2 linked regions of the Nothobranchius furzeri genome follow. The protein of the gene in region 2 interacts with the protein of the main gene of each other region in a biochemical or structural test. Links are inferred from orthologs where the notes say so. Each region holds a gene or a part of one and is shown on either strand. Other genes may lie near its edges. The genes, in order: mutyh and apex1.

Region 1 (4,572 bases), on a different chromosome or scaffold from region 2:
GAGAGAATGGAGTTAGACTCTGGTAAGGGGTGACTTGCTCTTTAAATGAAATTTGCAATCGCAAACAGAACATTCTGGTCCGAGGCAGCACAGGACTGGATTCACTTCCTGTTCAGTTGCTCCAAGCTGCAAACACGACTTTTGTGCACATAGAGGGGTTTGTGCAGCAGGGGGAGGGACTGTGAAAGGACAGTTTGATGGACAGATCATGATCCAGTCATTAGTAATGGGACGTGCACAACAATTGTATGAGGTTCCTTTTGTTGACAAAACATTGAATTTATCAGTTAGCACCAGTATGTGAAGAGTATTTCAAGCAATGTGGCAAAAACTTACTCCAGAAAACATCTCATAACCCACCACATAGATCAAGTACTGAAAACATGGCAAATATTTACCTTCAGCCATCTTTTGTAGTACTCTTTTACTGTGGCAACTTGAGTCTGTTGCAGCATTATTTCTGAAACCCAAACTAAAACAAACATAAAAATTTCACTGTGTGAAGAATTAGGGAAACGTAGAGCATTTCAGGCATTCATTTCTTTTTTGTAGACTGTGTTTTTACCTGCATATGTTCTGATGTTTATGTCCGACTCTGCCAAAGCCTGCCAAAAACAGAGGCTGGGTTTTACTTTCAGATGAAACTATACTGTACAGTCACTTCTATAAATAACCAGGAGATGGTCTAATATGCAAAAGGAACACTGTAAGCTTATTTTGAATACTGGATGATGCAGATGGATTTGATTATAATCCTATAGATGCTCTAAAGTAAGTGTCTATAACAGGATGAATATTTTGACTAGCGAGCAGCTTTTACTGTGACTTCGTGTTGAAATGTTGCTGTGAAACAAGAACCCTGAAATGAATCCATCTCTTTAAAACTCACTTAAAGCTGTTATTGCGAATCTACATAACAAGTAGAGGTGCTGAAAAAAATCCATTCGAGTCTGAATCGGGATTCTTATTTATAAAGATTCAGAATCGATTCACAAAGGTTCAGAATCGATTCCAAGAACTGAAATATTTGGCATGTTACAGGTTTGAGATGCACTTTTTTATCTTTGTTAGGGGAGTCAGTACTCCGTTTACTTTTGGGCTCCCATAAATTGAGATGATTTATGTTTGAATCTGCTGATAAGAGGGCACTTGAATGTTATTTTTTCCATACTCAGAAATTTGAGATATTCTCATATTTATTTTCTAAGTTGATAGATGAGTACTCAGGATTACTCATGTAACTTGTTTCTATACATACTTGAAAAGTATTTGACTGTATTACTTTCAATGCTACTGTTAGGTAACTACAGATTAGTTATATTTTACAAGGTAAGCAAAAATAAATGTTGCCTTTTGGTCAAAAGATCGCTTCTGTTTACAATTTTAGAATCACTTTATTTTACATTGTAAATTAGCATTTTTGGAGCATGACCAGTTTAAAGTCAAATAAAAACGTCCTATAGCTTTAACTAACTTGTACAACAAAGTAGTTAGTCCTGGAGCTGACACTCGTTAATACTGATTGTGAATCGATTTAAATAGAGAATTGAGAATCGAGAATCGATTCTGAATCGAATCGGCACCCCAAAAATCCGAATCGAATCAAATCGTGAGATTCACATCCCTAATAACAACGCAAACACAGTCACGGAACATTCACCACTCCCCTCGGGTATCTCCCTGAGATGTGTCGCCAGAGGAAACGAGATAGCGCTAAACACCAGTCGCTGTTTTCTAGGCCCAAACGTCTTTTATTGTCCGTGACTTTAAATGGTGTTTTTCTTTTTGGGACTCTGGTAGTTTGTCCTAAAGTTGAACTGGTAGAGCCAGCTGTTTATCCTTCTCTGGTGTTATTGAGCGGAGAACTTCTCACACCAGTAACGGATTGAGGACGCAGGGAAGTGCAGCGGTTCAGCAAGACCGACAATCGGATGGTCAAATAATTTGTTTCGGTCCAAAACGTGTTATTGGCAGACAAATGGGAGAGAACCACTTTCTTTATTATTATTATTATTATTATTATTTTATTCTCCACAATATATTACTAGCTATACTATTTTAGAATGTTGTCAAGAGGCATGAAAAAATATTTTAAGATAATGTGTTTTTCAAATTTGCCTTTACAGCTTTAGTATAACATTTACCATATCCTGAAATGGCAAGAAAATGTCTATTCTCTCTAATAAACAAATGCGTATTAAAAATCAAGATTTCCTGGATGTACCAGAGTCCTCCACGGCAGCTCTCTCTTCTCTTTGTCATACCAGCTCAAGAGCTGGGAGCGCAGCTGCACAACATCAGCAGGATCAGAGAAGGTGTGGAAGGAAGACTGTGGCACTGGGGGCGTGGTGTCCTCTGGAAGAAACGCATTTTAAATTCAAAACACATTTACCAATTCTAAAAAGTGTTTTCGAATCGTGTCGCTGAAACTTCTGGGTCAGATGTAACCCATGGGTCAAGCTGAACTTATTACATAAGTCAAATCTCTAGAGGTTTCTCTGCCTCAACACAGCTGAGTGGATGGAGCTTATGACTGAGCCTTTATGTGAATGTTTGTGTAGCACACTAGAGGTTTCTCTGCCTCAACACTCCTGATTTCACACAGCAGATGATCAGACGTGTACAACAGAACACGACATTCACTCCTCAATTCAGGTGTGTTAGAGCACGGATCCCACTAAAACACGCTGGATAGTGGCCTACCAGGATGGAAATTAGAACGTACCTTCTTTAACTGCTTGTTTGGACCTCTTTCGAGTAGAGGCTGATGTTTCTACCGTCCCCATCCGGCCTCTCTTGCCCTTGGATACCGCTGAACGTAACCCATTCATTATCAATCTCCCCTCAGTAATGGCCATCGCTGTTACTCTTCAAAACCAGAGCGGAGTTTTGGCTCCCGGCCTCCCGCCACTACGTTAAGGAAAAAAGCAGCGTTTAGCCAATCAGCTGTAAGTAAACACGGAAGTGTGTGACGCCATAACCGGTCGGCAGGTCTACGCACGCACATGTATATATACATATCTTTATATATTTATATATATACATATCTATGAACGCACGGACGTAGACGCGCTGTGGGCGTCATTTGGAATCGTAGATGTCCAAGGATGATCCCGCCTTTCTCGCCTCTGATTGGTTAGAAGGGATCTAAATCGGTTTATTGAAATCAACAAAACATGGCACATTACAATATTCCATTCTTAACTGGAAATACAAGCAGACGAGAGAAATAAATTGAGTAAAAAGAAAATAAATAATAAACAAACATGATATAAATAAAATGCAAATTAAGTGAAATAGTCTAAATGAAAGTAAAACAACTAATAAAGTGCAAAACATCATTCAATAAATTTGCTAGGGGTTAGCATTTAGTTTGTATTTCTTCATAGCGTAGGCTTTGGAGCCTTTCATGAATTCCAAAGAAGAGAAGTAATATACTAATTATTTATGAAATCCAATGAAATTAAGGCAAGTTTTTGCATAACGGATTTGCGTATGTAAAATTTTCCATGGATAATTATAACATTTAAAGCAATATAAATATTGTCCTTGGCAGTAAAACAACCGATTAACACGTTTTCTTTAGAAAGTCTTGGTGGATTACATAGCCTCTAAGCCAACCAATTCTCTAATTCACTCCAAAAAGTCTTCACAAATTCACAGTCAAAAAACAGATGCTCAGTGGTTTCTATGTCTGCATTACAAAATGAGCAGCCATTATGTTCCAAGTTAAATCGGTGTCTCAAAAGCTCTCCAGATGGATAAACGCAATTCATAATTTTAAACTGCATTTCTTTCATCTTTGGAGCAACTGGAAGCTTGAAAAAAAACCTACTTGCTTTTTTTTTTTCAATTTCACAAGATTGTAGATGAGAAGCTAATGATCTGTTGGCTAAGAATGGATGCAGCTCTTGAATAAATAACTGTCTTAATACAATATTGGGTAACTTTTTTTCAGTAATAGAACATTCATTAAGCATAAATTCAGGAAGCTTTGGACTAATGTTATTGTGATGTAAATTAGAGGAGATTGACAAGACAAGACTTGGAATTGCTTTTATAACCTTCTGATATTGTTCCTTGACAGTCAACTTGAATTTGGAGCTAAATAGTTCATGAGACAACAGATTTCCAGAGTTATCAAACAAGTGTAAAACAGACCAGATATCCTTTTCCAATCAGTTTGGATAAAATATTGAGTTATTTATTGAGGTGATGCATCTACAATTCTAGAGAGGAGTATCATGCAGACTGAAATTATATTTGCAAATCATCTTCCAGTACATAAGTACCTGTTGATGAAATAAAGACAGCTTGATGGGGAGCTTCTTCAGATCATAATCACACCTTAAAAGAAATTTAATACCACTGAGTTTGTTAAAGATTTGGTTTGGTATGTGAAACCAGAAATTGTTGTTTTAAACAAAAATGTTTTAGCCAGTTATTTTTTATTGTACCATTAACACACTCGAAATATAAAGCTTTAATCCCACCTTCCTCATCTTTAACCAAATTAGCCTTTTTAATATAGTGTGCCTTGTTTTTCCAGATAAAATTAAAATTAACTTGGTT
Region 2 (4,447 bases):
TCACTACAGTCATGGTAGCTGGAAAGAAAAAGCACAAAATACTCTGCATGAGATGCAAGACAGTTCCTTTTGCAAGTGTTAGATAATTATTTTGATCGGAGGCATGGCTTAGTTAGGTCATGTCTTTGTTGTTTATCTATCCAGTACAAAAGTACGCAGGAGTGTTTTTCTTTTTACACAATCAGACTAGATGCAGCAACACCAATGCTTTTCATATCTTGTTCATTTAAGATGAGATTTGTGATGCACACAGATCTCTACACATTTCCATTTACTGATCCAATAGAAATGTACCATGCCACGAAATGGGGAGGGCTACGCTAAGGATGCATGAGGAGATTTGTGGCCCTTTTGACTGATGATCATGGAGGTGGGGGGCTCAGGGGGTCACATTGTCTTGTTTGTACTACTTTCTATGTTTTATTTTCTATAAAAGCCAATGTAAAACCAACCTACTGCATAATGGTCATTTTTGGGAATGTACCAGGAAGACTGTTACCGGTCTTCCTCTCCTGGAAGTAAGAAACCAGGATCAATAGCTGGAGAGGATCCTGACATGAAAGGAGCTTTCTACAGACCTCAACAGTAACCAGGTACAGTATCTGAAATGTAAAGATGCTAATTCATTCAGCCAAGTGAGAAGAAAAGATTCATAAAAATACTTTTTTTTAATTTCGTATAATGCCTTTCAAGATAAAACACACACACACACACACACGGCAATCCCTCAAGACGAAAATCAAATCAGAATTTTAACAATGTAAGATTTTTTTCTCATTGAGGTAAAACCAACCTTTGTCTCTATACGTGTTTTTTTAAATAAATTTACTTGTCAAAAACTCCATATTTCATATGATGTTTAACAGGTTTAATCATTCTGTAAAAAAAATCATAATAGGGACTTTGTCCCCTAGTTTAGCAACCGAAAAACAGATCACACTGGTTCCAGCATAGTACATTAATCAGTCTTGCATTAGGTACTAAATATGTGCAAAGTTTAGTTTGAGTTCCAGAACAAAAACTGCTTTTTTGCTCAAAAGCAAAGAAACATCTGGCAAAAGGATCCAACAACCCAGAAGCAGCTAACATAATGAAAGCTATAATTGTGTAATTCCTAAAACCATTAGCTACAGCTGCACACTCAGCCCACAAGTTACGTAATTAAATAAATAACCATTTACATATTATTAACCCATTCTAAGAACCTGTTTAGAGGATCATTCTGAACAGAATTGATCAGAAAAGTTAAAACAAAGCTGTGTGGCAAACGCCTACGTTAACTGTCACGCGAGCGGTGTATATTCCAGAGAATATTTACCTCGTTAATAAAGTAAAACAAATAAACTTTAAACGGTCTGCTTCTCCTTTACTTTTCGTTCCAGTTGAACATTTCAGCTCGGTTAGCTTCTGCAGCTCCGATGACCCAAATATTGCGCTGTTAAATTCGCCTTATAATAAAGATCTTTCGAAAATATTTGTCCACACATCGTAATAAAAAAATACAAATTTTTCAGCTGAGTGGAAAAAAATATTGAACAAAATGCTGTATTTATTTCTCCTAAGTTTGGGGTGAAACCTATTGGTAATTTTTCAGGCATATTTAAGGGCAGCTACCAAGTCCAACCAGCACGTGCCCTGAAGAAAATCGTTGTTGTGTGTGGGGGAGTGACTGGAGCGGCGTTTGCTACTAGGGTTTTGCATCCTGTTGTTACAAGTAAGGTTATTTGCATCTTCTTTTCCGGAAATGCTGTGAAAATGAGACTTTAATTTAAGCACATTTGCATTTGTTGGCAAGTCGTTGAAGTTCATTTGAAGCCTAATTTGCGATTCGATTAATCTGTCATTCATTCATGGTGCAGGCCGCCTGCTGCCCTTTGTTATGGAGACACGCTAGCCTTAGCACAGCGTGTTTTCAGCTACACTTGTGTTGCACAGACGCGTTTCCCAATATGTTTTACCCTATATATTTTACAACTGTATTGTCAAATATATGAATATTTTTATTTACCATAAACACACTTAAATCAGCATTGTCCCCCATATTTTTAACCATTAAGTACATTTAAAACTTCAAAACCTCATTTCCCCTTTACGCATATTTTAAAGGGTCCTGCTAAAACGCACCCGCGGAGTTTAAAGCTGCTGCAAGCAGGTTTTGAAACAACCTTTAGGTTTCAGCTTTATGTTGAAGTTGGTTAACTCCACAAAACCAGGAAGTCTTCTGGTTGTAATGGGAAAGTGGCTCGCTGCCAATGGCTACAGTTTGTATATAGAGTTAATATGAAATAAATAAAAGTGACGTACAGTAACTATATGTGTAACAAATTGTGCGACAGGGTTCTGAGGTCTGCAACCTATATGGTAGAACCACTTTGACCTCATATTAAATACGCCACACAGTCTGATCCCTAAAATAATGTTTACAGGTTAAATAAATAATGATAATAAAATAGGTTCAGAAGCGCAGTTGGTTATTTCTCGCCTTCACAAATAACTGATGTTGATTTCTTTTGTATTGAAAAGCAAACTTTATTATGAGGTCAACTTTGTAGGAAATGATGGGGAAAAAACTACTTATTCATCATTTTTGTGTCATTCAGCTGTGGAAACTGTACTTATTGCAGGAAATTGATTAAGAGCTATATCTATCTTTGATGTCATCTTAAATGCAAACATTACTCAGGTTCATGTCGTTTATGGCCAAGTTACAAGGAGCCGGTTCAAAAGAGCTAAAGGTCGGAGTGTGGCTCCAAAGCCACAGGTTGCAGACCCATGCTTTGGGGCAGGGCCATGCCATCCTGGTCCCTGAGGGCCCCAGCGTGCATGTTTTCTATGTTTTACTGCACCAACACACCTGGTTTGAATCATAGGGTGATCAACAGGCTTCTGAAGAACTTAACATGCTGTAAAGAAGGCAACAGCTAAAACATGCAAGGCAGTGGCCCCGCTTTAGGGTAACAAACTTTGTCTTTAGATTTGTGTAATAACCAAAAACATATGGTCGTTATTTTTTAAGTTCAAAACCATCTTAAAGTGAAAACCACTCCGTGTTGCACTTGATTGCTGCATTCTAGAGTTTTGCACCCTAATTCTGTGTTTGCAGCGGCGTGTGTGCTGCTGCGTGTGCGTGCTGTGTGTCTGCAAGGTGTGTTTGCCGTTAGAACAAGTTCCAGTATGAAGAGAGGCAAGAAGACAGAAGAGGCAGCTGCAGAGGGCGAGAATGATGCCGACTCTGGTACAACAACGCTACACCTACAAATCTGCTGTTCCCTTTGAAGAAAATAAAGATCTTCAACGCTCGTGATTTTTTTTTTTTCTCGTTTCTTTGTGTCAGCTTCTACAAAGAAAGCAAAGAAGGCTAAAGAACCAGAGGCACCGGTGTTGTACGATGATCCTCCTGACAAAATGACCAGTAAAGATGGCCGCAGTGCCAACATGAAGATCACCTCCTGGAATGTGGATGGGCTGAGGGCATGGGTGAAAAAGAAGGGGCTTGATGTGAGTTAGAGAAAAAGTTTTGCTGCATGAGGCTCATCATAAACAATCTGAAGGTTGACTTTCATTTTCCCAGTGGGTGCGTGAGGAGGCTCCAGATGTTCTGTGCCTCCAGGAGACCAAGTGCTCAGAGAAAGCTCTTCCCTCTGAGATCACCTCAATGCCAGAGTACCCCTACAAGTACTGGGCTGTGTCAGATGATAAGGAGGGATACAGTGGTGTAGCCATGCTATGCAAGACTGAACCTGTCAAAGTAACATATGGAATTGGTGAGTGAAATGTTTTCTCTGGATGAGGACGTGTTGGTTTGGTAACATATCTCTTGTGTGATTTTAGGAAAAAAGTCACGTTTCTGGGAAAAGGTAAACAAACAGGTTGTATGTTGTGTCATTTCTGACATTTGGGCTTTGGAAAAATAAGAAGTGATAAATACAAATTTATCTTTTGAGAGAGCTGGAAAGATTCTATTTTTAAAGGGATACTATGCAAATATTTCATATTTTAAAATCATTCTTGAGCCAGTATGTGCTAAATTGACCCTTTACAGCAGGGCTATTCAATTCTAGGCCTGGAGGGATGGTATCCAGCATGTTTTGGTGGTTTCTCTGCTCCAACACATTCAATTCAGTGGTTGAATCACCTGCTGATTGAAATCAGGTGTGTTGAAATAAAGTTAAAACTAAAATGAGCTTGAATATCCTTGCTTTACAGGGTTAATGAAATATCACTCAGACCCCACTGCCCCCCGTGACCAGAATACTGCACTTGCAACTTCAGTGGGGCAGGCAGCTTAAAACTTAAAAACAATTGAGCGGACATACCTGCCTCTGCAGTCTGCTTCCAGCACGTTTCCTGCATGTTTTAGATGGTGAACACAGCTGATTTGTTACATATAGTGATGAACAGCTCCTGAAGAAACTAATGAAGGCAGAGGAGACATTTCAGTTAGCTT

What was found.
Region 1: the proteins of apex1 (region 2) and mutyh form a complex in vitro, tested with the Homo sapiens proteins (3 studies listed by BioGRID and IntAct, with this or other methods). The link is inferred for Nothobranchius furzeri from reciprocal best matches to the Homo sapiens genes APEX1 and MUTYH.

The regions. Positions count from the first base shown.
Region 1 is NC_091748.1:53,458,714-53,463,285, reverse strand, and holds the start of mutyh (adenine DNA glycosylase), read right to left. Parts: upstream 3,016-4,572; 5' UTR 2,859-3,015; coding exon 2,726-2,858; intron 2,356-2,725; coding exon 2,225-2,355; intron 606-2,224; coding exon 566-605; intron 473-565; coding exon 399-472; intron 1-398. UniProt on the Homo sapiens protein: Involved in oxidative DNA damage repair. Initiates repair of A*oxoG to C*G by removing the inappropriately paired adenine base from the DNA backbone. Possesses both adenine and 2-OH-A DNA glycosylase activities.
Region 2 is NC_091741.1:57,621,620-57,626,066, reverse strand, and holds the start of apex1 (DNA repair nuclease APEX1), read left to right. Parts: upstream 1-1,621; 5' UTR 1,622-1,714; intron 1,715-3,103; 5' UTR 3,104-3,174; coding exon 3,175-3,235; intron 3,236-3,334; coding exon 3,335-3,498; intron 3,499-3,571; coding exon 3,572-3,764; intron 3,765-4,447. Other genes in the region: osgep (tRNA N6-adenosine threonylcarbamoyltransferase), read right to left, coding at 1-13.